Linked DNA regions of Diceros bicornis minor. The protein of the gene in region 3 interacts with the protein of the main gene of each other region in a pairwise test. Links are inferred from orthologs where the notes say so. Each region holds a gene or a part of one and is shown on either strand. Other genes may lie near its edges.

The links.
Region 1: the proteins of SF1 (region 3) and FAM168A interact in binary tests that used the Homo sapiens proteins (3 or more experiments, as listed by UniProt). The two-hybrid records come from large-scale screens. The link is inferred for Diceros bicornis minor from reciprocal best matches to the Homo sapiens genes SF1 and FAM168A.
Region 2: the proteins of SF1 (region 3) and DDX17 interact in binary tests that used the Homo sapiens proteins (3 or more experiments, as listed by UniProt). The link is inferred for Diceros bicornis minor from reciprocal best matches to the Homo sapiens genes SF1 and DDX17.

What each region holds. Positions count from the first base shown.
Region 1 is NC_080746.1:57,260,781-57,268,747, reverse strand, and holds the start of FAM168A (protein FAM168A), read right to left. Parts: upstream 3,075-7,967; 5' UTR 2,695-3,074; intron 1-2,694.
Region 2 is NC_080764.1:11,437,643-11,445,705, reverse strand, and holds the start of DDX17 (probable ATP-dependent RNA helicase DDX17), read right to left. Parts: upstream 3,045-8,063; 5' UTR 2,884-3,044; coding exon 2,834-2,883; intron 1-2,833. UniProt on the Homo sapiens protein: As an RNA helicase, unwinds RNA and alters RNA structures through ATP binding and hydrolysis.
Region 3 is NC_080770.1:8,309,231-8,317,292, forward strand, and holds the start of SF1 (splicing factor 1), read left to right. Parts: upstream 1-4,980; 5' UTR 4,981-5,298; coding exon 5,299-5,650; intron 5,651-6,996; coding exon 6,997-7,125; intron 7,126-8,062. UniProt on the Homo sapiens protein: Necessary for the ATP-dependent first step of spliceosome assembly. Binds to the intron branch point sequence (BPS) 5'-UACUAAC-3' of the pre-mRNA. May act as transcription repressor.

The DNA.
Region 1 (7,967 bases), on a different chromosome or scaffold from region 3:
AGTTAGATTACACTCTCATCAAATTACAGGTAACTGCTCAAACCTGATTTTTATTGTAATACAGAAAGCTTCCTCATAACAAAACACTTTCAATTCCAAGGATAAGTCCAACCTTCCATCATTCTGCCCATTTGGGAACTATAAAAAAAAAAAATTCTAAATATTGGGTATTTTTATGTGCTCAACTGTGAAAGCCAAGGAAAGTGGTTTGTTTATGAGCTCAACTCTGAAGCTTGAACAAAAATAGAATTATTTTGATCCTACTGGTGCCAATGTTATCCTCTTTATATCCCTCCCCAATTTTTCTCAGTCTGAGCTCTAATCAACAGCCACTTCATGTTTAACATATCATAGTTAATCTAATTGAGTCTCGAAAACTGTTTCCCTACAGATGTTTCCTCTGTTCACACCCCTCTCTACCTTCCAGCATCACCATTCTGCCATGAGAATGAGCATATCAATAAGCTTTAAACAAAATTTCTGATGAATAGATGGAGATATTGTTTCTGTAGTTAATGCAATGTGCCTACATCAACATCATCCCCTAAAAAAATTAAAAAATGATTCTATATGCTTTATTTATCCACATCTGACAGAATTCTGACCACCTGAATTATTTTCAAAGAAAATTCAATCTACAGAAATACAGTCCAATTACTTTAAATCTTATCAAAGAGAATCAAATGAAAAACTCCATCAATACCAAACCATCTCACCAATGAATATTTATGACATTTCCATATTTCCTGTTTTCTCTCTGTTTACATAAAGCGATGGTGCCAAGATTCATCTCAGGATTATTAGCCTGCAATACAATGATGGGCCTAATTGCCTTGCAAACCAGGACACCAATAAATGGAGTCTTTAAGCAATCAATTTTAAGAGGAGGAAAAAAAAAAAGCCCTAAGCTCTTTCTGCACACATGCACGTTGCCTGACTAGGAAATAAATTCAGCCTCATATTTTTCAGTCTCATTCATCGGTTCTCAAGCAAGGCATGCTCCCTTAACTACCTCAAGCTCATCAAATCTATTTAACTCCAAATTCCAGAACTAATTTTTAAATGCACCAGCAAGAGGGCAGAAAGGAGAAGCTAGAGACATCACAGAGAAAGATATCTATCACATTCCAGCTTCATCTTCCCCACCTTTAGTTTAGGAGTGGGAAAGTTTAAAAAAAAAACTTTCTTTTTATGATATACGAATGAAAGAAGACACCCTCCCCTCCTTAATTCTACCTTAACTGCAGCCACTCTGAACTTTACCCTTTACCCTTTGATTTACTTCCGAATATGATACTAATATAAATGAAACAAACAAAAAGATTAAACTAACAGCCAAAGACGTCCTCTAGGAATCTTCAACGTACCTTCTCTCCCCTGCAGTCCCCTCTGTTACCGCCCCTCCCCCAACCACAGCCTCCAGAGCTGTCCATTTAAGTCCAACCTCCAACCCTCTTGTATCTCATGGAGGCCACCCCAATCCACCCTCTCCAGAATCATCCAATCCACCTCTTCCCAGCACTGCTCACTGTCCCTCTCCATCTTCTCTGCCCCATCCATACCAACAACTCCATGTCTCCCACCCCTTAAATAGCCTCTCTGCCACTTCACCATTAGCAACCACCTCTCCAGTCCCACCAGTTCATCTCAGACATTCCTTCTCCAAAACTCCCGCTGCCACCTTAGCCAAGGAACATTTGCTTCAAGATCCCATCCCCCAACCTTTCTCACCACCTGCCACTAGTCTTTCAGTGAGTCCAGCGCAGTGGCATCTTCTGTGCCCTCTGCCTTGACCCTGCATCCAGGGAGTGCCATGCCCCTTCCCATGGTTCTACGATCACTCTAAATCCCATCTCACTGAGCCCTCTCCCCCAGTTTCAATCCTTGTCTGCCCATTTTGGGCCTAACTTCTAATTTACCCCCCTCCTGCCAGCTCACCATCATGCTCCCCTCATTGAAAGTCCCACCCCTGCCAGCTCCTGTTCCAACCTCCATAAGCACTCCCTAGGAAAACCCCAAATTCTGCCTCCTTTGCTCTCCTAACCCACGCTATTCCATAAGTCCCCACAAATTCCACCACCACCAAATGGCAAACGCCCACTTCAAGCTCAGGTCTCAACCCATGCCAAGCCCTTTACCCCCAGCTCCTACCACCTCTATTAGCCCGCCCCGGGTCCACCCCAAATTCCACCCGACTGAATTAACACCCTCCAGGGTCCTAACCAACCCCGCAAGCCCACTCTCTATTGAAATCACCCCTCTACCGCGCGTCCAGCTCGGATCCCAAGCTGTCAACTGCTCCAGGCCAACCCCAAATCCACCACCCTCATTCAGTCCCCTCCCCCATTAAAAGCCATCCCACTCCAGTCTCATCATCCATCTCACACAAAACCATCCCAAATTCCACCCCGACCCCCCCAACCCCACGCTCCTGTCCCAGCTCCGGTCATTCCCCATTGAAAGTCCCCTTCCCCTGTCCCCCCCCAAACCTGCTTGGGTCCCACCCTCACCCCACCCCCAGCCCGCGCCTGGACAAGTATCCCCTGCCAGCGCGCCGTTCCACCGCGACCTCAACCCCCTTCCGCCAACCCGCGTGGGGGCTCTGCAGCCCCCACTCTCATTCTCCCCAGCACCACCCGCCCCGGCTCAGAGAGAGCGGACCGGGGGTGGGGGGCGGGGAGGGGGTCTCCTCACCGACGAGCCGCTGTAGGCGAAAACGGCGGCGGCGGCGGCTGAGGCGGCGATGCCCTTGTCTTCTCTGGAGGCTACTGAGGCGACGCTCTCGCTCCCTCGCCCGTGTCCAGTAAGGTGGCGGATGGCGCGCAGGGACCGGGAGCCTCCTCCTTCTCAGCGACTCGGCTCTGAATCCTCTGCAGTAGCCGCCGAGGAGCCCGACGGGTGGGGGAGGGGGCGCTCGGCTGCGGGTGAGGGAGGAGGAGACGGAGGGAGGGGGCGGGGGACCGCCGAGAAGGGAGGGGAAGGAGGAGCCGGCGCGGCGCCACGACACGTCCCACAGCCTCAGCACCCCGGGACCACAACTCCCGGCATGCCCTGCTCCTGCCCGCGCGCGGCCTGCGCCTCTAGCCGCGCGCCCAGTGCGCAGGGGCCGCGCCCTTCCTGGTCGCGGACAATGGAAGAAAGCCAACCATCCGCAGGCTGCTTTTGTAGACTCAAAGACCACCTGTGAGGGAAGTTAGGTCGCCCCGCGGCCCCATACCCAAGTGGTGATGTTCGCAGCGTCTCCAACCTTTACACGCGCGCGCGCGCACGCACACCCACACGCACACCCACATAGTCGCAGCCCTCTGGACTACGTTTCCCAGCATGCCCCATAGCCTCTCACTCTCCTTCCGGCCCTTCTTAGACCTGGTACTACAGTTCCCAGGGAGTGCGGTCCCCGCGAAATGCTGGGAGATGAAGTTCTCAGTTCTTCCTCCATGTTAAGAAAAAGAAATGAAAGAGAGGAAAAAAGGAAGGAATATGCCAACCCACTGAGGACAGGCCTAAATGGACTAGATCACCTGTGAGTCTGTACTGTCTTCGCCATTCCCGTTGCGACTGTCTCACACCAGAACTAATGCAGCAGCTTCCTCCTGGTCTCCCTGCAAATCTGAGGACGATTTGGCAATTTGAATCCAAATGTAAAAAGGGCATACTTCTTGACCCAGTTCCGTTATTTTTAAGAGTTTACCTTAAAAAGATAAACAATTTGGAAAAGATGAATGCACAAGGTTGTTATATGAGGTTGTTAAGGTTGTTATATGAGGTTGTTGTTATGGGGGGAAAACATAAATCTTCATCAATAGGGGGCTGGTTAAATTACATATTCAATCAATGCAATACTAAGCAGCCGTTTAAAATAATGATAGAGATCTAGTTATTGACAGGAAAAGCTATTCACAATTTATTCTCGAGGGGAAAAATTGATTACAGAACAGCACGTTGAGAACGGTCCAATTTATGTGAAGTTTGAGACAATATTCTATAAACATAAAGAGATTTGAGAAAAGAGCTTCCTCAAAATATTCTCTGTGATTATGTTGGAGTAAAGGGTGTCAGATTTCAAGTAATTTTTATTTTCATATTGCCTGAATTGTTTAAAGGAAGCACATAATTTTTTAAGCTATAAGACTACTTTCAAAAAATATAATTTCCAGGGGCCGACCCTGTGGCGTAGTGGTTGAGCTCCTGCGTTCAGCTTCCGCAGCCAGGGGTTCGCCAGTGAGGCTCCTGGGCGTGGACCTGCTCACAGCTCACCAAGCCATGCAGAGGTGGCGTCCCATATAGAAGAGCCACAGCTCTACAACTATGAAACACAACTATGTACTGGGGCTTCAGGGAGAAAAAAGAAAAAAAAAACAAAAAGAGGAAGATTGGCAGCAGATGTTAGTGCTTCCTCAAAAAAAAATATATATATATAATATATATATATGTATATATAAAATATCCAAATCCAACAACCTTTCTGCTGCCTAAAAGCTCTCTGTGGCTTCCTGTTGCCCTTGGTGATGCTCCAGGACTAAGCCCTTCTGATTTTTCTGTGAGCTCAACAGTTCCCCTATTAAAACAAATAATGATGGTCACTTACAATTCATGAAAGAACATTAAGTTAGTAGGGAAGATTTTCTCAATTTTCGTTGTCTCTTCTCAAATTTTTCCTTGTTCTGATCTTTCCACACCTGATTCCTCCTTTTCTCCTACTCATTCTTGAAACTCAAACCAAAGTCCTACCTTCCCTAGAACATATTTTAAGCACACTGATTTTCCTTATATCTAAATTCTTAGAGCAATGGTTTCTAATCTGTGGGCCAGAGATCACTTTGGGGAAGGGGAGTGAACAGGAAGGAACAAAGTTATTGTGAAAGGTCTACAAAGGTCTACTTAAACAAAGCATTGTCTATAGACTGAATAAATAAGTCTTACGCTTAAAAGATTTTTTTCCTTCTTTTGTGTCCAGCTCTCCTAGAATATGGAATATAGTATTAGATGATCTCTGATTTAGCATAAATCCTGTATTCAGTTACAGTATTTAGATTTTATGTCATTATTTCTTTTTTTTAAATCCTTTTTTTTCCCCCCAAAGCCCTAGTAGATAGTTGTATGTCATAGCTGCACATCCTTCTAGTTGCTGTACGTGGGACACGGCCTCAGCATGGCCGGAGAAGTGGTGCAACGGTGCGCGCCCGGGATCCGAACCCGGGTCGCCAGCAGCGAGCGCGCGGACTTAACCACTAAGCCACGGGGCCGGCCCTACATGTCATTATTTCTTGGTGTTCTGCAAGAAACACCAGAACATGCCAGCTCCATTAGCCAGCCCACTGGAGAACTGCAGGCCTACTGGAGAAAGCCCAGGTTGCCTGGATCAGAGGTTAAGTTGGTAGACAGTCCTGCTGCAGCCAATCACTTCAGCTTCACCCCACCTAAATCTAGTAACACGCTTAGCCGTTGACTCACTTTCCCCAAATACATCAGGCACTGTCTTTTTCAAACTGCCTATCTTGTTTTTCATCCTATTCTCCCAGCCTTAAAATCCCAGCACCTCCCCCCCACAGAAAAAATCCTAGCCCTTTTGCCCCCGTTTCTGAGAATAGTAAGAAAAGTGCCTATGACATGTTGGCTGTGTCCTTTCCCCTCTCTGAGTGTTGCATTGGCCATCCCTTCTTCTAACCCTCTCCCCTCCTTCTCCTCCTCCTTTTCCTCACTTCTACTGGCAGAAAGTGGGGGCTGGGTGGTCAAAATTAGAAGGGGTCTGGTCTGTCCAGCAAGTAAAGCATTATCTGAGCTAGGGGAATAAGTATGAGGAAGCTTACCAGGCTAGGAATCTGGAAATCAGATCCTAAGTTAGACCTTGCCTTGAACATGCTGGGTGACTTTTAGTAAGTCCCTTAACTTTTCTGAACCTCAGTGTTTATATCTGTAAAATGGAAGGAATAATTCCTAACCTGTCACCTCATAAGGTTATTAGGAGAATCCAATAAAACTATGGGTATGAAAGTGCTGTGAAGACTGTAAAGTGTCACTTACAGTCCAAACCCTTCATCTAATGTGAGAATTCTTTCTCCAAATCCCTGCCAAATCTTGGCATGTAAACTTTTTACTCAGAGTTATATTATTACTAATGAATTTATTAAAGTATTTAAGGAATTAACTCCATTACGTCAATTCAGTTCCTTGATAAATTTTCTATATAACACAGTTAAACAATTTCTAACTTTTCTAGATTTTTTTCTATATTGAATTTTCCTCAAGATATATTCTTTTGTCTATCAATTTTCCAAGAAAGATTTAATTTATCAGTTACCTTTTATCTTTATCAATGTTTACTGATTATTGCTTCAGCTGTTATGAAATTTCTAGTCATTATTTCCATCAAGTCTACCTTTTCCTGGGAGCATTTTGAGCCATTGTCAGTTTTATTTTGTGTTGATTACTTCTACCAAGTGGAATTTTCCGGGGGGTCAACTTTGCAATGTTCAATGTTTACCAACAAAGATGGGATCATTCAGTTTGCTTTTCCATCCATAATATATTTTTACCATGTGTAGTTTTAGCCATTGTCAGTTTTATTTTGTGTTGATTATTTCTACCACAACCAATTTTTTTTCTGCAACCCAACCAAAACAAGCTCGGGGTGGAAATGACAGTGTCAAAACACTATCCTTTGCCTGTTACTATCTGATTAACTTGGACTGTGAAATGCTTTTGTCCTAGCTATGTTAATGAGCTGGCCTTGAGCTCTCTCTCTCAGAGTTTCTCTTTAGGAGCCTTGGGACACATGTGTGGGCTGGAGTATTACTTTAAGAATTGCTTTAGAATTACAGGAAAATGGACATTAGAGACCATGTTAGGAGAACCAATCTTTAATGAGCCAGGTGCTGTGCTGGTGTCTAAGATCCATTATCTCATTTAATCCTTCAGCCTACACTGCCTTCACATGCGCATTTTATCACAGAGGAAGTTGAGACCCAGAGAGAGGAAGAGTTGGCCAAGTTAGGGTCAGAAACCAGACCCTGGTTTAATTCTCAGTTAGTGCAATTTGAATGATTGTATGTTCCAAAGTTATCTAATTTAATTTTTAAACTTTTGTAATCATCTTGTTGGAAAATTAAAGTATAATTTTTTTTTTATAATTTTATTTATTTATTTATTTCCCCCCAAAGCCCCAGTAGGTAGTTGTATGTCATAGCTGCACATCCTTCTAGTTGCTGTATGTGGGACGCGGCCTCAGCATGGCCGGAGAGGCGGTGCGTCGGTGTGCGCCCGGGATCCGAACCCGGGTCGCCAGTAGCGGAGCACACGCACTTAACCGCTAAGCCACGGGGCCGACCCTAAAGTATAATTTTTTAATTTAGCTAAGATATAAAACAAGAGAAATACTCATGAATATAAACAAAGCATTCTCAAAGAGATTTTTGTGACAGCAAATGAGGCAAGGAGTGTGAAAATGTTTTGTAAATGACCCAAACCTGGGAAAATGGAAGTTACTGCCATTTGTGACAAAGTGTGTTATATAAACCTGTGTGCCAGCTTGACAGAGTGCTAGAAAACTAACAAAACACACTAACGTCCAATAGATGGGTATCAAATGCCCATCCTAATATTTAATTCTAATAGCCAATATTAAAGGAATAAGATTGCATCCTGCGTACCCTTTAAGACCTAATTCGGACATCAGGAAACCTCTCCTGACCCCGGTTAGGTTAGGAGCCCACTCACTCCCATAGCCTGCTCACACTCTGTGTTCACTATCTGTTTACTGCCCTCAAGGACAAGGACCAAGGTGGTCTGGCTCATCTCCGTGGCCCTGAGCTGGTTCACCTGGAGCTTCTCACAGGGTAAGGTTTCCGTAATCAACCAATCAACCAATTAACATGACAAGTATATAGACTATATAGACAACCATTTAAAGTGACAAGGGAAATATCTCAATAAAGCTGGGAAAAAAAAATTTTAACGACAAAGGGAAG
Region 2 (8,063 bases), on a different chromosome or scaffold from region 3:
TGCTGCTGCACTCCAATCCTACCCAGACCGTAAACGAATTAAACTTCTTAAAGTAAGGTTCCTTTTAAGGCTTATTCAAAGCCTCTATTTAAAAGAAAAAAAATGTTTTTCCTTTCTCTCTATTGTCTTGGCTAACTGTCCAAGACATATCTTCCTACTCTATTATAAAGATATAATTTGAAACATGGGGGTCTTTATAAATATGCTGTCTTCTACCTTTACGATTAATGCTGCCTTCAATATTCAAGAGAGCCTTTTACTCTTGTAGAATTTTTGAGCACATCTGTGCCATCCTTTAAAGATGCACATATCCTAATCCCTGGCACACTATGCTGCTCATTAACTGTTTTTATCAAGAATTAAGTTTGACTATGCCATAAATGCAGCTTTGAAATAAGTCATGGGGATGTAATGTACAGCATGGTGACTACAGTCAATAATATCGTATTGTATATTCGAAAAAGCTGAGTAGATTTTAAAAGTTCTCTTCACAAGAAAAAAGTTTTATAACTTTGTATAGTAACGAATGGTAACTACAGTTACTGTGGCGATCGCTTCTCAATGTATACAAATATTCAATCATAATATTATACACCTGAAACTAATGTCAATTATATTTCAATAAAAAAATAAAATGCAACTTTGAAGATTTATATATTAACATGCAAAATCACGCTAGTTTAAAGGTACAATGCACACCATTTTTGGACTGTAAGTGTACATATAGTGACCTCACTCATTCTCTTTTCAAAATAATAGTCCACTTCACTTAAGAACATTCAGTTAAGAATGAAACAACAGCAACTCAAACCATAAAGGAAATTTCATGATAAAGGTAGTTAGAGCACAGACCTTATGAAAGAGTGCCACTTTGTTTGAAATGAATTATTTTTAAAGCTTTTTTTTTTTTAAACATCATTTGATACTCAAAGAATCAATATGGGACAAACTATGGATCAGTAATTCACTTTTTCCCCTTTTCTAATTTATTTTTATTATTAAAGTATACATACAGTGAAATGAACCAAACACCTATGGTTAAAGACACAGAACATTACCAGTACCCTGGTAGCCTCCATGTGCCTATTCCATTTACAACCCCCACCATAACTATCTTGAAATTTTAACCATTCCCTTGCTTCTCATAGTCTTGTCATATTTGTAGGTATCCTTATACACGTTATGCTTCTACCACAACTTGTTTTGCTCAATATTATGTTTGTGAGTCACCCACACTGATACAAGTTTTTTTTCTTTTTCACCGCTGTATTGTATTCTACTGTACAAATATCCACAATTTGTCCAGACATTTAAGCTGTTACCAATATTCTATCATGAACAATGGGGTATAAACATTATTTTGCACACAGACATCGGAGCACGTGTACATGGGTTTCTCTAGGCCTTACAGTCTAGAGTACAAAGCTTGAGAGAGGAATTACTGGGTCATTTTCACCTCTATCAGATAATGTTAAGTTCTTTTTCCTAAGCGTTTATACTGAAATTCACTTCTAAACTTAGCTATTACTGTGAAACACTAAGCAAACATTCCACTTCTAGCCCTCCAAATTTAACATTAAGATCAAACATTTTCCTTCCTAACAAGGTATAATTCAAAACAATCTTTTTTATTTTTTAAATTAAGTGAAGGTGAGGTGCCTGTGACTACAAGGTCTGGTACTTGTGTATCTGAACCCCCAAAACCAAAAATGTTTGGAGAAAATATTAAAGAACACCTACTACAGAAAGACAATTACACACCGTATCTCAATTCCCCACAACAATGCAAAGTAAGGGCAATTATTATCCCCACCTTCAGATGAGAAAATAGGCACACAAAGGTTCAGGATCTTGCCTGAGGTTACATATATATTCAAACGGCATCACATTACTTTTTATCTAGAGATACAACTTTTATTACAAAAAAGTAACAGCACAAATCAACATGGATCTCTTAAGCAACTTTTTCGTCTAACCCGACATTAAGATTTGAATCTCAGGATCTGAGAGAACTTCAGTTTTAATCCTGTTAACATCCAACCCAGTAACCACGGCATTACTAAACGAAACACTTTCTAGTTAGGCTGAGAAGATAATGCTCCAGTCCAATTAGGGAAACAAAAGACTGAAAGGTTAAAAAAAAAAAACAAAAAAAACAACCTACACTAACGACCAAACCAAAAAAACCCCTCTCCCCAAATTTAGATGGCAAATAATTTCACTGTTTACTTTCCAAGATGCTTGCTTCTAATTTGTTAAAATACGACTAAAAGTGATAGAAAATACTTTTAAAACCACAAGTCAGCCTTCTGGTCTCTAGTTGCAAACCAGGTTTCCAATTCCAGGCACAGCTATCTCGGGCGACAGATAACACCAGGGAGGCCATTTCGCGTTCAGATTGCCTAGGCCGACCGCGGAGACCCCACGCTCTTCTCTCACCGCGAACCCCCGTGCTCCAGATGAACGCCGAGGCCTGGGGAATCAAGCGGCTCGGCCGGAACCGAGGCAAGGGCCGGGCCGGGGGTGCGGCGGTCACCCCCTCCCGCTCCCGCGGGGCCGCGCCACGACGGCCGTCCGCAAGGAGGGGCCGGGGCGTCGCCAAGCCGCCGCCCCCCGCCAGGTCATCAGCGACCCTGGGGCCCAGGCCCACCCCGAGGCCCGCGCTCGACCCCGCTATTATGCCTCGGGTGGCCCCGCCTGCGGAGTCGAGAGCGTCGCTCCCAGGCCTGCAGGCGCTCAAAGCCTCCGGCTCGGCTGCAGGCTGCGGTCTCCTCAGGAAGCAGCCCCCCGCGCCCCACGCACACGCGGAGCCTCTCCTCTCCTCCCCCCTTACCCTCCACGGTCACGATCCCGGTCCCGGTCCCCAAAGCCGCCTCCGCGCATGGTCCCAAATGGATAGAGATCTGGGAGCGGGGCACGGATGGCCGGGCTCGGGAGGGCCTGCGGCTCCGGTCTGGTGACGACCGATGGCGGCGGCGCCTCCGCTGTTGGGGCGGCGGCAGGCGCGGCGCTCTCTCGCTCCGACGCGCTGTCTCCCGTCGCAGACGCCACCGTCGCCGCCTCTCTCGTCGGAGACGGGAGCAAAACACAGAGAATCGGGGTTATAAAAACAGTGGCTAGGTTTGGCTACGCTCAAACCCGGCACTGCCGCGGTTTAGGCGTCTCCTTCCCTCCCAGCGACTGCACAAAATGGCGGCCGGCGCTGAGACTGCTCCAGCTTAACGCTACGTACGTCGGAGGCGATACGTAAACAGCGTCTCGGAACAGTCCGAGGGCTTCGCGGAGTACTACGGGTATTCTTGAAGGCATTTTACGTCAGTTGCGGAGGTGGGCGCATTTTGCGGCCGGCAGAAGTAAAACAAAGTACGGATCGAGCGTAGAGTTCTCGCGCCACCTGAACTAGAACGTGGTGGTGGGTGGGGGGGCGGTGAAGAGCCTCCGGTGCGACGTAACATTCTTTGCGTCGTTAGCCGGCCCACTATTGCGAAGATGCGCAGTGTGCGTAACGCATTCTGTTTGGAGAATAGAGGATTTTGCCGGGTTCCGACCGCGGGCCGGAATCCGGGTCCGCTTGTGCAAGTTTGTTTGCATAGACAATAACTGTCGTCCATCTTGCCGTCGTCAAGTTTCAGGGTCTCCAGGTGCCGAAAGTCCAGGAGGGTCTTCAGGGTCTCTGGCTGGCGCTCCTCCATGGCCTTGCCGGCTCTTCGGCCCCGCCGCCCTGGGCCTGCCGAAACTGACCGCGCGCCCGGCGCCATTTCCTTTCAGTTGCCTCCCGGCGCGCTGTCGCCGGCAGCCATGATGGATGCGCCATGTCGGTTCTTTCGGGAGTTGGTCAGGCGGCGACGTCCCCGCTGAGTTAAAGCACTCTTTGCTGCAGTTGGTTCACACAGAAGTGCATTTTCTGAACAGAATGTTTACCCTGTCCTCGGCTGAGCACAGTTGGCTAACAAAGAACCAAAATGTGGGTGAAGCCCCACTTACGGTGGCCGCCGCGGTCCTTTGGCCGCCATTAGCCGGCGCTGCCTCAGGAGGCCCGTGGAGGCCCTTAGCGCTCTCCCGAAGCGGAGGCGTCCAAGCGGTGGGCCTCAGAAAAGGTGAAGGCCTGAGGACGTGTTTGTGAGCAGGCTAGGCCGCGTTCTCTCTCAGTTCGTCGAAGCTGGCTCTTCTCCGCGCCTGCTGCTTCCCCTCCCACTGCACTGTGAAGTCCCACAGGCGTGGCTAGGTGGCCTCACGGAATCCTCGAGCCGCGAGGGCCCTTGGAGAGCGCTCGTTTGACATCTCTTTTATTTATTTCTACAGATGGATAGAAGGGGGGACACTTGAGGCCCCTCGTCGTGGGGGCCAAGTGGTGTCTTCCGCTCTGTTCTGTTTCCCAAATTACTGCAAAAGTAGCATAGGGAGTAGAGCTTCAGGACAGGCTGTTCAGATGTCTCTTGGGCCGAAAGAGGCAGATGGGCCGTGGGATTCATTGGACAAGTGTTGACGGCCTAAGGGATGGAGCAGTGGGCTGGGAACTGGGGCACAGCAGTGAACAAATGAGTTCCTGCACTCGTGGAGTTTACGCTCTAGTGGGGGAGATAGACAATAAATGTTTATGTTAGGCAGTTGCTAACTAAGATAAAAAGAAAGAAAAGTAAAGCAGAGAAAAGGGACAGAGAGTGTATGTGTGCCTGCGTGGGAGGGAAGTATGCCTGTTACATAGTGTTAAACAGGGTGTCATAGGAAGGCCTCCCTGATCAAGTGACATCTGAGCAGAGACCTCAAGTGAAGGAGCTAGCCTTGTTTACATAGCGGAAAGAGCAAGTGCAAAGGCCCTGTGGCAGAATGTGGCTGGAGTAGAGGTAGGAGGAAAGATGGGAGAAGGCCAGAAATAAGAAGGGCTTGTAGGCCAATGTAAGGACTTTGTATTTTCCTTTCAGTAAATTGGAAATCTCTAGAAGGTTTTAAGCAGACTGACATAATAAAAGGACCTCTACGACTACAGTGTGGAGAATTAAATTGAGAGTGAGCTAGGGCAGAAGCAGGCAGATTAATTGGGAGGCTAGTGCAGTAATCCAGGCAAGAGATGATGGGGCTTGGTTTGGGTTAACAGCAACCAGTAAAGGAGAAATGGTCTGATTGAAAATTGAGCCAATGATTTGCTGATGGGTGGGATAGGAAAGAAAGAAGTGTCAAGGATGAATCTTGTAGGAGTTGGCCAACAATTAAGCTCCTACTGTGTTTTAGACTGTACAGGAACTGAGGGAGTTATTTGGACTGGTTTGCCTATTTATCATATATGCTAAGTAATTAAATCTGAGGCTCTCTATATAACAATAAATAATTTATAAAGTAAGGTAAGTCCACTGAAACCCTCCCTACATTTTGCCAGGGGGAAATAATTCATATTTTGCTACTAGATCATGTCCCTGTCTTACAGCAACTCATAGCTCCTTTGTCTTCATAAAGCTTTTCACAGTATGTAATTATATAGTTGTCATTATTTGATTAATCCTGCCTTCCAGAAAAAGGGAACTTTGAGTCTTCCTCTGGCAGACAAGTTTCTGATTATAAAGTAAATCCATAGTATGCATTCTCATTCTTGATCTAATCTCTGTTTTCCTGCTGAAGATGGTTGAAGCTTATTACATTTTTTCTAAACACAGAGAAACAGTTTCATTAGGGAGGTTGGAGAACCTAGGAATTTCATTAGTAACAGCCAAGACCGTTGGTGAAAATGAAAATATACTTTGCTCAATTCATCCTTTTTTTGGAAAATCTAACCATACCTTACCGTACTATGCAATCCAGCAATCACACTCCTTGAGATTTCCCAAAAGATTTGACAACTTATTTCCACACAAAAACCTGCACAAGAATGTTTGTAGCAGTTTTATTCATAATTGCCCAAACTTGGAAGCAACCAAGATGTCCTTCAATAGGTGAATGGATAAACTGTGGTACATCCAGAACCTAAAATATGTTTTCAGAATTTTCTTAGGGGGGAATATTTGAAGACCACTAATTTTAAAAGGTGAACCCAGACCAAGTAGGGCCTGAGGGCGCTGGAGAGCCATGCTCCTTCTCAAGTGGGTGCCTCATTGTCCAGCCAGTTGTTGCCAGGTAGACATTCAGGCCCAGAGTGTTAGTTATTGACTCTGAATGTGTGTGTTAGTGACTTCTGTATTAGAGAGACATAGAAGAATCCCACCCTCACTGAGTGTTTTTCAATTTTGCTATTCTGTGTCTCTTGCTTAAAAACTTTCTGTGGCTCCCGTGACCTAAAGACCAAACTGTAGCTCCACAGTCTGACATTTAAGGCCTTCCAAATTCTGGCCCCAACCTCTTACCACCCTCCTGCTTTGGCAAATCTCTATTCTCTATTCTTCACCCACTTCCCCCCCCCCACAATTTCTGTGATTTTTGTTAATCCCTCTCAGTGCATGCAAATAGAAAAACTCAAGGTCCACTTCTGCCTCCTCCCTGCCTTGGAACCTTAGGGAAGTGATCTCCTGTACTCTGGCACTTAGAGGCATTAATCACTTGATTAACCCAAGGAAAACGATATTCTTTCTGATCTCTTTTTAGATAATGGGGGCAGCTGTTCACTTCCTCCCCTCAACACACGGCACACAAGCAAGCTGAGGAAGAAAAGAGTTCAGACTACACAGTCAGCTCACTAGGGATGAAACAGAATTTATTAAAGAGACAGAATGACTCACAGTCCTAGAGATTAACAGTGTTAATGCATGTTAAAGACTCTAAATGAGAAGAGGGGGTTTATAATTAACAAGGTGTGACAAATACTACACTCACATACACAAATGCTTGGCACTTATTTTTTGGAACACAGGATAAATCCACCCTGCCCTTTGCCTCAGCAAATGGACCTTTCTAATTAGGGCGGGACAAGAAAAATATTTTTGGTGATGAAAAAATTGTTATAATTCTTTAGCAGACTTCTAAGTCAAGGGATCATAGTAGCTGAAGGCTCTTTGGTCTGTTGCATATAAATAAATTTAAAGACAGTATTAAATGATGGGTATGGGAGTGCAAAATCCGAGAAGCCAAATAAAGTCAAAAAGCTTTGCATGGGGGATGTGGGGGAGGAGCCAATAAGGTAATGATTTTACCTTCAATAAAAGCAGTAATGCTCATTAGTGCTTAGTAGAGGGTGTTTGTTTAATGGAGGTGCCATTAAGATGCCATGGAGTACTGAGTTCCACTTCAAGATGGATGCCAGTTGAGAAGAGAGATTGTCTGTGGGGACGTAGCCACATATGAGGTAACTGGTTCTCCGTCCAAAGAGAAAATTCCGAGATATTTCAGTAGATTGAAAGGCACAGGGATGTAATTTTCTTTAGATTCCTGGTTCCTGCTGGGGAACACAAACAAGTCTTTCTTCTTTCCTGAAGAACAGGTGATTGGGGTTGCTTTTGACAAACATAAAGAGGAAAAAGCCTTCATAGGCTGGAGGGGAGGGAGTAGGTATACACTAAAATTGAGACCAAATTCCTTGAGCAAGAGTTAGAGGGGTGGGTTCGTGTTTTTTAATAGATTCCTCTGTGTTCTTCAGACAGATACAGGGGTATTTATTAGATATGGAGCTGAGTGGAGAGTCAGAGAGGAAAGTCGGCAATATCCTGCTGATGAATAGAATGGAAAGGAGGAGAACTGACCGCAAAGTATATAATTATGTTACAGTGAATTGTACTTTAGAAACCCAGAGACTTAATAATGTGAAGAAAAACAGGCTGGCACCAAAAATCAGAATATAAGGACAAAGACAGTGAAAACATCGATAGGTCAATTAAACAGCAACTGGTGTCTCTAAGATATTATATAATGAGAAGGAAAGCTGTAGTATTTACATAATTTTGATCACAGAGGCGAAATATAGTTTGCATATACTTGGAGGAAAACCAACTAGCCTTAGGGCTATCTCTGAGGAAGGACTGTGCCAAACAAGGACAGCAAACCTACACACATGCGCGCACACACACACACACACACACACACACACCCCCTCTGATCTGGGGGTGGTTCAGATTGTAACTGGGTAGAAGGAAGGCAGAGTCAAA
Region 3 (8,062 bases):
CCACAAATTCCACTACCCATCTCCCCCTAGTTCAAATTACCTTTAATAAGAAGCTGTAACTAAAGCTGGTTTTCCAGGAAAAACAAAATTATGAAAAGTACTTGGTGCATCCCAGGTGCTCACTCCATAGAAGATATCATTATTCCTAATTTGGGCAATGGAGTCACGTGCGGGGCTCTCCAAAGGCGGGACACTGAGCAGACAACCACGGATCTGCTCCCTCCAGTCTCAGCTAGCTGGGTGACACGACCTCTCAATCTTGCCTGCGGCTTGGGGCTTCTGAACTATCAGAGGTAGAGTTACAAGATGAAAACCGCCAGGGATTAGCAGGAAGGGGCTGAAACCTCTCCCCCTTTACATTCCAACACCAATTCTCTGACACCAACTGGATGTCCTACAGTTCAATTTGATTCTGACACCAACCACCCTGAGTCGGCAGACCCCACAGGTTAAGGAATTCAGCCACAAGTCCTGGGTCTTGTCTCCAGGTTACCCACACCTCTGTCCAACTTAGCTACAAATTCGGAGGTTCCCACAACTCCCCTCATGTTCAATAATTCGCCAGAATGAAACACAGAACTCAGGAAAGTGCTATATTATGCTTACCGTTTTAATATAAAGGATACAAATAAACAGCTAGATGAGGAGAGGCAGAGGGCAGCAAGGTCTGAAAGGGTCCTGAGCCCAGGAGCTTCTGTCCCTGTGGAGTCAGGGGACACCACCCTCCTGTCACATCAATATGTTCACCAACCCGGAAGCTCTCCGAATCTCACAGTTCAGAGTTTTTATTGAGGTTTTATTACACAGGCACTGTTGATTAAATCACTGGCCGTGTGACTGAATGCAATCTCCAGCCCCTGAAGTGGGGGGTGGGGCTGAAAGTTGGCTGGTTTTTCTGGTGACCAGCCAGCATCCTGAAGCTGTCACTGGGCCCTCAGAGCTGGCAATGAGTCACCCTGTTAGCTAACCTCAGGTATGGGCCAGAGGAGCTCCTCAGGAAAAATGAAAGACACTCCTATCGCTTAGGAAATCCCAAGGGTTTCTGAAGCTCTGTGCCAGGATCTGCGGACAAAGACCAGACATATATTTTTTATTGTACCGCACCCTTGTATAAGATCAGGAGGCATCTGCATCTGATATCTGTGTGTAATTCTTGCGCCTGCAGCTCAGGAGATGCCCCGTTAAAACCAACGTGCCCTCTCATCTCATTGAATCAGCACAGTACCCTGCAGACTAGCGTTAATATTAGTCTTCTACAGACCAACTGAGGCATGGAGAGATTAAATGCCTTCCCTAGCTGCCAGCTGGAGGATGGCTGGCCCCATAGGACTGCAACTTGCCTCAAAAATGGGAAGTTGGCTCAGTGGTCCTCAGCCAGAGAGCAGCACGGTCTGCATTCCAACCCTGTTCTGTCCACAGAGGAGTCTTGCACCAGCAGACTATCCTGGCAGACTGTGAGACCTTGCCGTGGGTAGTTCAGCTTTTTGTGGCTCAGTTTTCTCATCTATAAATTAGAGAGAATACTCATCTCCAAAAGTTGTGTGGGTGAAATGAGCTACTACGTGTACAAGAACTCAGAACAGAGCCTGGAGCAGCCAACATCCGAACTCTCCAGCCATTAATTTGTCCTTGGAACAGTTACAAAAATTGATCATATATTTAACCACAAAGAAAATCGTACTTTTTTGAAAAAGTAGAGATTTTTAAGGCCATCTTCTGCAAAATCTAACAAAAATAGGAATTAATAATAAAAAGATGACCAAAATATTTTAACTTGGTGATTAAAAAATACTCCCACAAAATCCTGGATAAAAGAGATTAAACTGAAATGACTACAAAGCAGTGACAATGCCTGCCCCCTGAGACAGTCCCAGCTGCAGCCTTCACCATTATTAGTACGGAGGTGTCATTATTAGCATTAACAGTACATTTCTCTTCGTGCATTTGTCTTTCTCCTTTGCTAGACTACGATTCTCTGGAAGGCAGGAACCGAATTTCATTTACGGTGGTAGCCACCAAGCTGGTCTGCACTCAGTAGCTGCTCAAACATTGGATGACTCTTTTCTTCCTGCCTCCATAGAATTTGTCGTATTTACTGAATAAATTAATTTTTCCTTCAAACAGATGATTTAAACATTTTATATTTTTCCTTTCTTGTCTACAATATTAGCTTAATATTTGGTATATAAATAACACTTGCTCAGTGTAAAAAATTAGAATAAATAGAAATGGGCGGAAAAAAAGTAAAAATTATCTGAGATCCCCTTACCATCGGAAATTTGGTGATTGTCCTGTCAATGCATTTCTTTATATCTATACAGTTATATATAATGTTGTTATAAATGGGACCATGTCACACATTTTTAAAAAGTATGAGGCACTTTTTTTTTTTTTTTTTTTGGTAAGGAAGATTGGCCCTGAGCTAACATCTGTGTCAATCTTCTACTTTATACGGGACACTGCCACAGCATGGCTTGACGAGCAGTGTGTATGTCTGTGCCCGGGATCTGAACCCACAAACCCTGAGCCATGGAAGCGGAGCGTGTGAACTTAACCACTACACCACCAGGTAGGCCCCTGAAGCACATTTATAAAATATGTTGGGCTCCTAAACTGTATTGGATAACGTCCAGGCACCCGTTTCCCTCTGCAATGTCTTCACTGATAATGTGCCATGTATCCTTCCACAGCTTTCTCTGCACTCACATAATCCTACGCAAACAAGCATGCACATATATGGGCTTTGTTTCTTCTACAAAAACAAGATCATGTAATACATATTTCTCTGCTTCTTTTCTCATTTAATAATAATACAGCACAGAAGTCCCTCTAGGTCAGTTAGTATGGATTAACTCCTTTTCAAGGTGCCTAATAAGCCAGGTTATGGATATTCCAGTTTGTTTGACCATTCACATATCAATGGAAATTCACTGTTTCCAGGTTTTTGCCATTACAAAGCTGCAGTAAATGCAGGAGACAACCTTGAACACGTTATATTATATAACCACACGCCTTGCCTTAGGGCAGAGTCCCACGAGTGGGACTGCTACATTGAAAAGGTTTTTTTATTTTTCCTGAAAGGGGTACAATTTTAATAGAAACAGAATGCTTTCCAAAAATGTTCACAGTAGTCAGTGTGAGTGCATTTGTTTTTTGCGATTTTGATGGTTATATAGAGTCCTCATTATCACCTAATTTTCCATTTCCCTTCTTGGGGGGTTGGTATCCTTTCATATTTTTTGGCTATTTGCATTTGCTCTTCCGAGACTCGCCTATTCATAGCCTTTGCTCATTTCCTATTGTTTTTGTCTTTTTTCTAATTAGTTTTTAAGACTTCTTTGCATATTATAGATATTAGCTCTTTATTGTACATGTGGCAAGCATATTTCCCTGATATATTACTGTCCGTTGGCTTTTATCACAGTTTTAGTTTCTTTGGTAATCAAGTATATCTCTTCCTTATAGTTTGGATTTCCTGTGTTGGGGTTCAGGACAGGCCACCCCAAAATATACCACTTTGGCATATTGATTATTTTGAATTGTTACTTAAGAGGCAGCCAGTGCCAAGAAGGACATGCTGACCTTCCTTTGCCCCCTGAAAGTAGGAAATAAATCTCCCATGTGAAATGTACCCTCCCTGTACCAGGAGGTAGAGAGACATCCTTATCACTAGAGATAGAGAATTAAGGGCAGAGAAGGCTATATAAACAAACCTTGTTACTTCTTTACTAATTTACTACCCCAAGCCCAGACTTCTTTGTCTTGTTAATTCTTCACAGATTTACTGTTTCTTTGTCTAAAAGGTATAACAGCTGTGCACTTTGGACACTTCTTTGGGTATCATATTCTCCCACCTTACATAATTATAATTGTTTTTCTCCTGTTAATGTGTCCTGTTAACTTGATCAGATCAGCCAGACAACCAAGAAGGGTAGAAGAAAAATTTTTCCTTCCCTACACTTGTCTTCATAAAGTCTCTACCCCTAGATGACCCCGATAGTCTCCTAAATTGTATTCCACGTCTGTTTTATTTAGATTTAGGACTGTTACCATTTACCAACTGAATCTTTTCCTTACTGAACTGAAACACCATCTTTGTGGTATTCCTACATATATACGGGGAATCTATTTCCGTCCTCTATTCAGTTGTGCTAATCTTTCCTGCATCACATTGTTTGTTTACTGCGTCTTTTATTCTGCATTATCCAGAAAGGCAAGCTCCTCCTCAACTGTGTGTACAAGTTTCTCCACGACTTTCATAGTTATTATTTTATATGATTTTGAGATGATTTAACCTCAACCTCGATAAGATTTTAATGGAAATACATTGTGAACTAATCTTGGAATTGACACTTTATATTGTTTTCCGCCTAAGATTACGCGTTCTTCCATCGGCTCAGATATCGTTTTTAATCCTTCAATAAGACTATAGGTTTTTTCCTTCAGTTCTTATCCTTTTCAAAGAAAACAGGAAGTCCCTTTTACCTGCGGCGTCAACGGACCCGCTTCACGGGCGCGCGCCAGCCCCTCCCCCCTCGCCGGTTCCGGGTTACCATGGCAATCGAGGATTGACGTCACTTGGCGCTTCCGTGCCGGACCGGGGGTCGACCGTGAAGCTAGGGGCGGAGAGGCGGTGCTGACCCAACTACGCATGCGCGCTCCGACTCGACTCCTCCCCCGCCCTAAATCTCGTTCGGCCAGGGCTTTTCCGCCGCGACCTCTCGCTTAATCCCAGCGAAAGTGCTCCCCGGGGGAGGGGTGTAGAAAAAGGATCCAACCAGCGACAGCCAATCCCATGACACTACGACGCAACTGAGCATGGTTGACTCTATCCACTGCAGCCAATGAGAGCGCGCTTGGTCCCGACGTCACAGAGTTTGCCCGCCCTCTCCCCTCCTTTCTGGCCTCCGAGCTTAGTCCGCGCAGTAACAAATGAAGTGCGCGCTGCGACACCTCCCCGCTGGCCGGGCTCGGCCGCCATTTCCTCGCCTGGCCTAACGGTCCGGCCAATCCCAGGGTGCAGCGAGGAGGACTAAGGCTCCGCCAATCGGAGGGCGCCGACTCCGACCCCCTCGCCTCGGCCCGGCCCAATCCAGGCCCCGGCCCCGCCGCCCCCGGCCCGCCCCCGCGGCGCCCTCTCTCCTCCCTCTTTGTGCGTCTCGCGCCGCCGCCGCCGCCCGCCGCGTGAGAGGACGGACTCCGCGCGCTCCGCGGCAGCGCAGTCGGGTCTCCTCCCCCCGGAAGATTCGCGAAGGAGCCGCCGAGAAGGAGCCGCCGGTGCCGGTCCCTGGGGGCGCCATGGCGACCGGAGCGAACGCCACGCCGCTGGGTAAGCTGGGCCCCCCCGGCCTCCCTCCCGTCCCCGCGCCCCAAGGGGGCTTCGAGCCGGGGCCCCCGCCTGCCCCCGGGCCTGGGGCGGGGCTGCTGGTGCCCGGGCCGCCGCCGCGCCGGCCCGTGGGCTCGGCGGGGGCCCTGACCGCGGCCTTCCCCTTCGCGGCACTGCCGCCGCCGCCGCCCCCCCCGCCGCCCCAGCAGCCGCCGCCGCCGCCTTCCCCGGGCTCCGCGTACCCGCCGCCGCTCTACCAGCGCGTGTCGCCGCCGCAGCCGCCGCGTCAGAACCAGCAGCCGGGCCCGGCCGGCGGCGGAGGAGGTGAGTCGGGCCGAGAGAGCGCGAGAGGCGTCGCGCGGACGGGCCCGGCCGGCTGAGGGGCGCGCGCGGCGGCGGCGGCGACGGCGGCGGCTGCTGTTGCACGCGGCAGGGGCGCGCGCGCGCACGCACGGGGAGGCCCGGGCGGAGGCGCCACGGGGCGCGCGGCCTGGGGCTCGGGCCACGAGTGCGCACGCGCTCGGGAGGAGGGGGCACAGGGCGGGCGGACGTTTGCTGTGCGCATGCGCAATGTGGCTGCTTAGGCTTTGCGGGCCCGACTAAAAGCGGCGGCGGCGGGGGGGGGACGGGCCTTGTTGCTCTCCAGCCGCTGGTGTAGGGGAGCGGTGTGGAGAGGGTCGAGTGGGTGGACGGGGTGCTGGGGGTGCATGTCAGCAGGGAGTGAAAGGGTCAAGTGATGACGTGGAACATCTCCTTTCTGGCTGTAGAGGAGGCAGAAAAGAAGGAAAGTGTTAAAAATAGTCCGTCTTTTACAGTAAGGCAGGGATTTCAGTGCGGAGAACGAGAGAGGATGGAAGTCTTCAGGGAGTGGTTGGTCCGATCTTTTGTGGCCGTTTTTTAGGGAGGGACTCCTGTGTTTCGTTCTGATCTCCTTTCATTTCCCTTAGACAAGTCTGGTCCGCCTCCTCCTCGTAGTTGCTGGGGCTTTCCTCTCGGGAAGTAGAACGACTTTTGTGCACCAGATGTGTAGGGAGTTTCTGCCTATGTATGGGGGAAGGAGGATTTTGTTACTATTGCATCGCTTGTTCCCTGTTGAACGAGGAGTTCAGACACAAAGTTTCCAAACTGGCCAGGAAAATTGCTTATCTGCGCTAAACTTAAGAAAATAAGTGATGTTATTGAAGAGTGGGGCTTTTTCACTTAGTAACCGTAGGTTTAGTTGTGTTGTGGCCCATTTAGAAAGGTTGCTGGTGGGGAGGTGGAGGTGGGAGGAGCCAGCAGTCTGCCGATGTTGCTTTACGAACTTGCCTGTGGTGATTCAATCTACTCTTGTCTCCCCTGGGGCTTTTAAGGCATGATGTAGCGTATGTCTTCGAAACATTTTATTTCACTATCGGAAATTATGCGATAAGATTTGTTTACATACTTTACAGCGTTTTTCTGGACAAAAATTATAAATGTGAAATGTTAACCTTTTGGACCCAGGTCCAGGTCTGCTTATAGTGGTGTGTGTCTCAGGTTTGACTTGTGTACTTTGCCATTTAAGTTTTAGGTCAAGTTCTCAGTTTCAGAGCCTGCTGAACTTGTAACGTTATAAGTATCCTGAACTACGTGTTGGTAGTTACTGTGTTGATTTATGTTTGTGTCTCATGGTCTGTATCTCCCTTTAGACTTCCCGAGTAAGAAGCGGAAGAGGAGCCGCTGGAACCAGGACACAATGGAACAAAAGACAGTGATTCCAGGAATGCCTACAGTTATCCCCCCTGGACTTACTCGGGAACAAGAAAGAGCTTATATAGGTAAATACACGTTCTGCATCCAGATGCATTTTCGGGTTGTTACTGTTTATTCTGAGCAGTGTTTTTATCTGTTGCAAGCCTGAGATTGTGAAGTTTTCTTTTTTGAGATGAGGTGTGGTCAGGTGTACTTTCTTTGACATAATTCGTCAGTTTTTGCTCAGTGAGTCCTGCACTTGCAGCTCCTTGTTTGGTCTGTTCATAACAGCAGTGTTCTCCATGAGTGCCAGGAAGGTAGAGGGGCCCATTTAGGGTAACACTAGTCCCCAGTCCACAGCCCACCCCATCCTTTTCAGCTGCTGCTCACTGCCAGTTGATGAGGTGAGTGTCTTATGCCTCTCTGGACATGGCCCCAGTGGAGAACACTGCAAGTATTGTAAACCAAGAACCTTTTTCACAGCATGGCCTCTCACCATAATTTCATATTTCTCCCTCCCCCTAAAACGTGATTTTTTACTTTTTATAGGTACTTTCTGAAGGGAAAAAAAAAACCTCAGTTTAATCAAAAAGTGGTTCTGAAAGTGTGTTTACAGTTCACCCCCTTTTACCATTTGGTTGAATCTAACCTTCCCTTCAGCATCTTTTCTGTTTTGGTCTTTGGAGAGCTGTCTTAAAATGAGGGCTCTTGTATTTACTATTAAAGAACTCTGCTGGGAAATGGATACTGCTTGGAAATGGAATGAAGTGGTAGGATAAAAATCTTAACTGTTGGGAAATTTCAGGAATTAAGAATGGCTGTCCACAGTGGAATCCGAAGTTAACCTTAAAATTACCTTTTTTTAAAATACAAGGTTTTTAATGTAAGTTTTACCTTTATTTACGTACCTGTGCAGCTGTCTCAAAAATTCACTTGATAAGCATTTCCTACTAACCAAGTAAACGTCCCCTTTGGGGTAAATTAGGGCAAAGGCCTCTGAGGCTGTGGCCTTCACGGATAAAA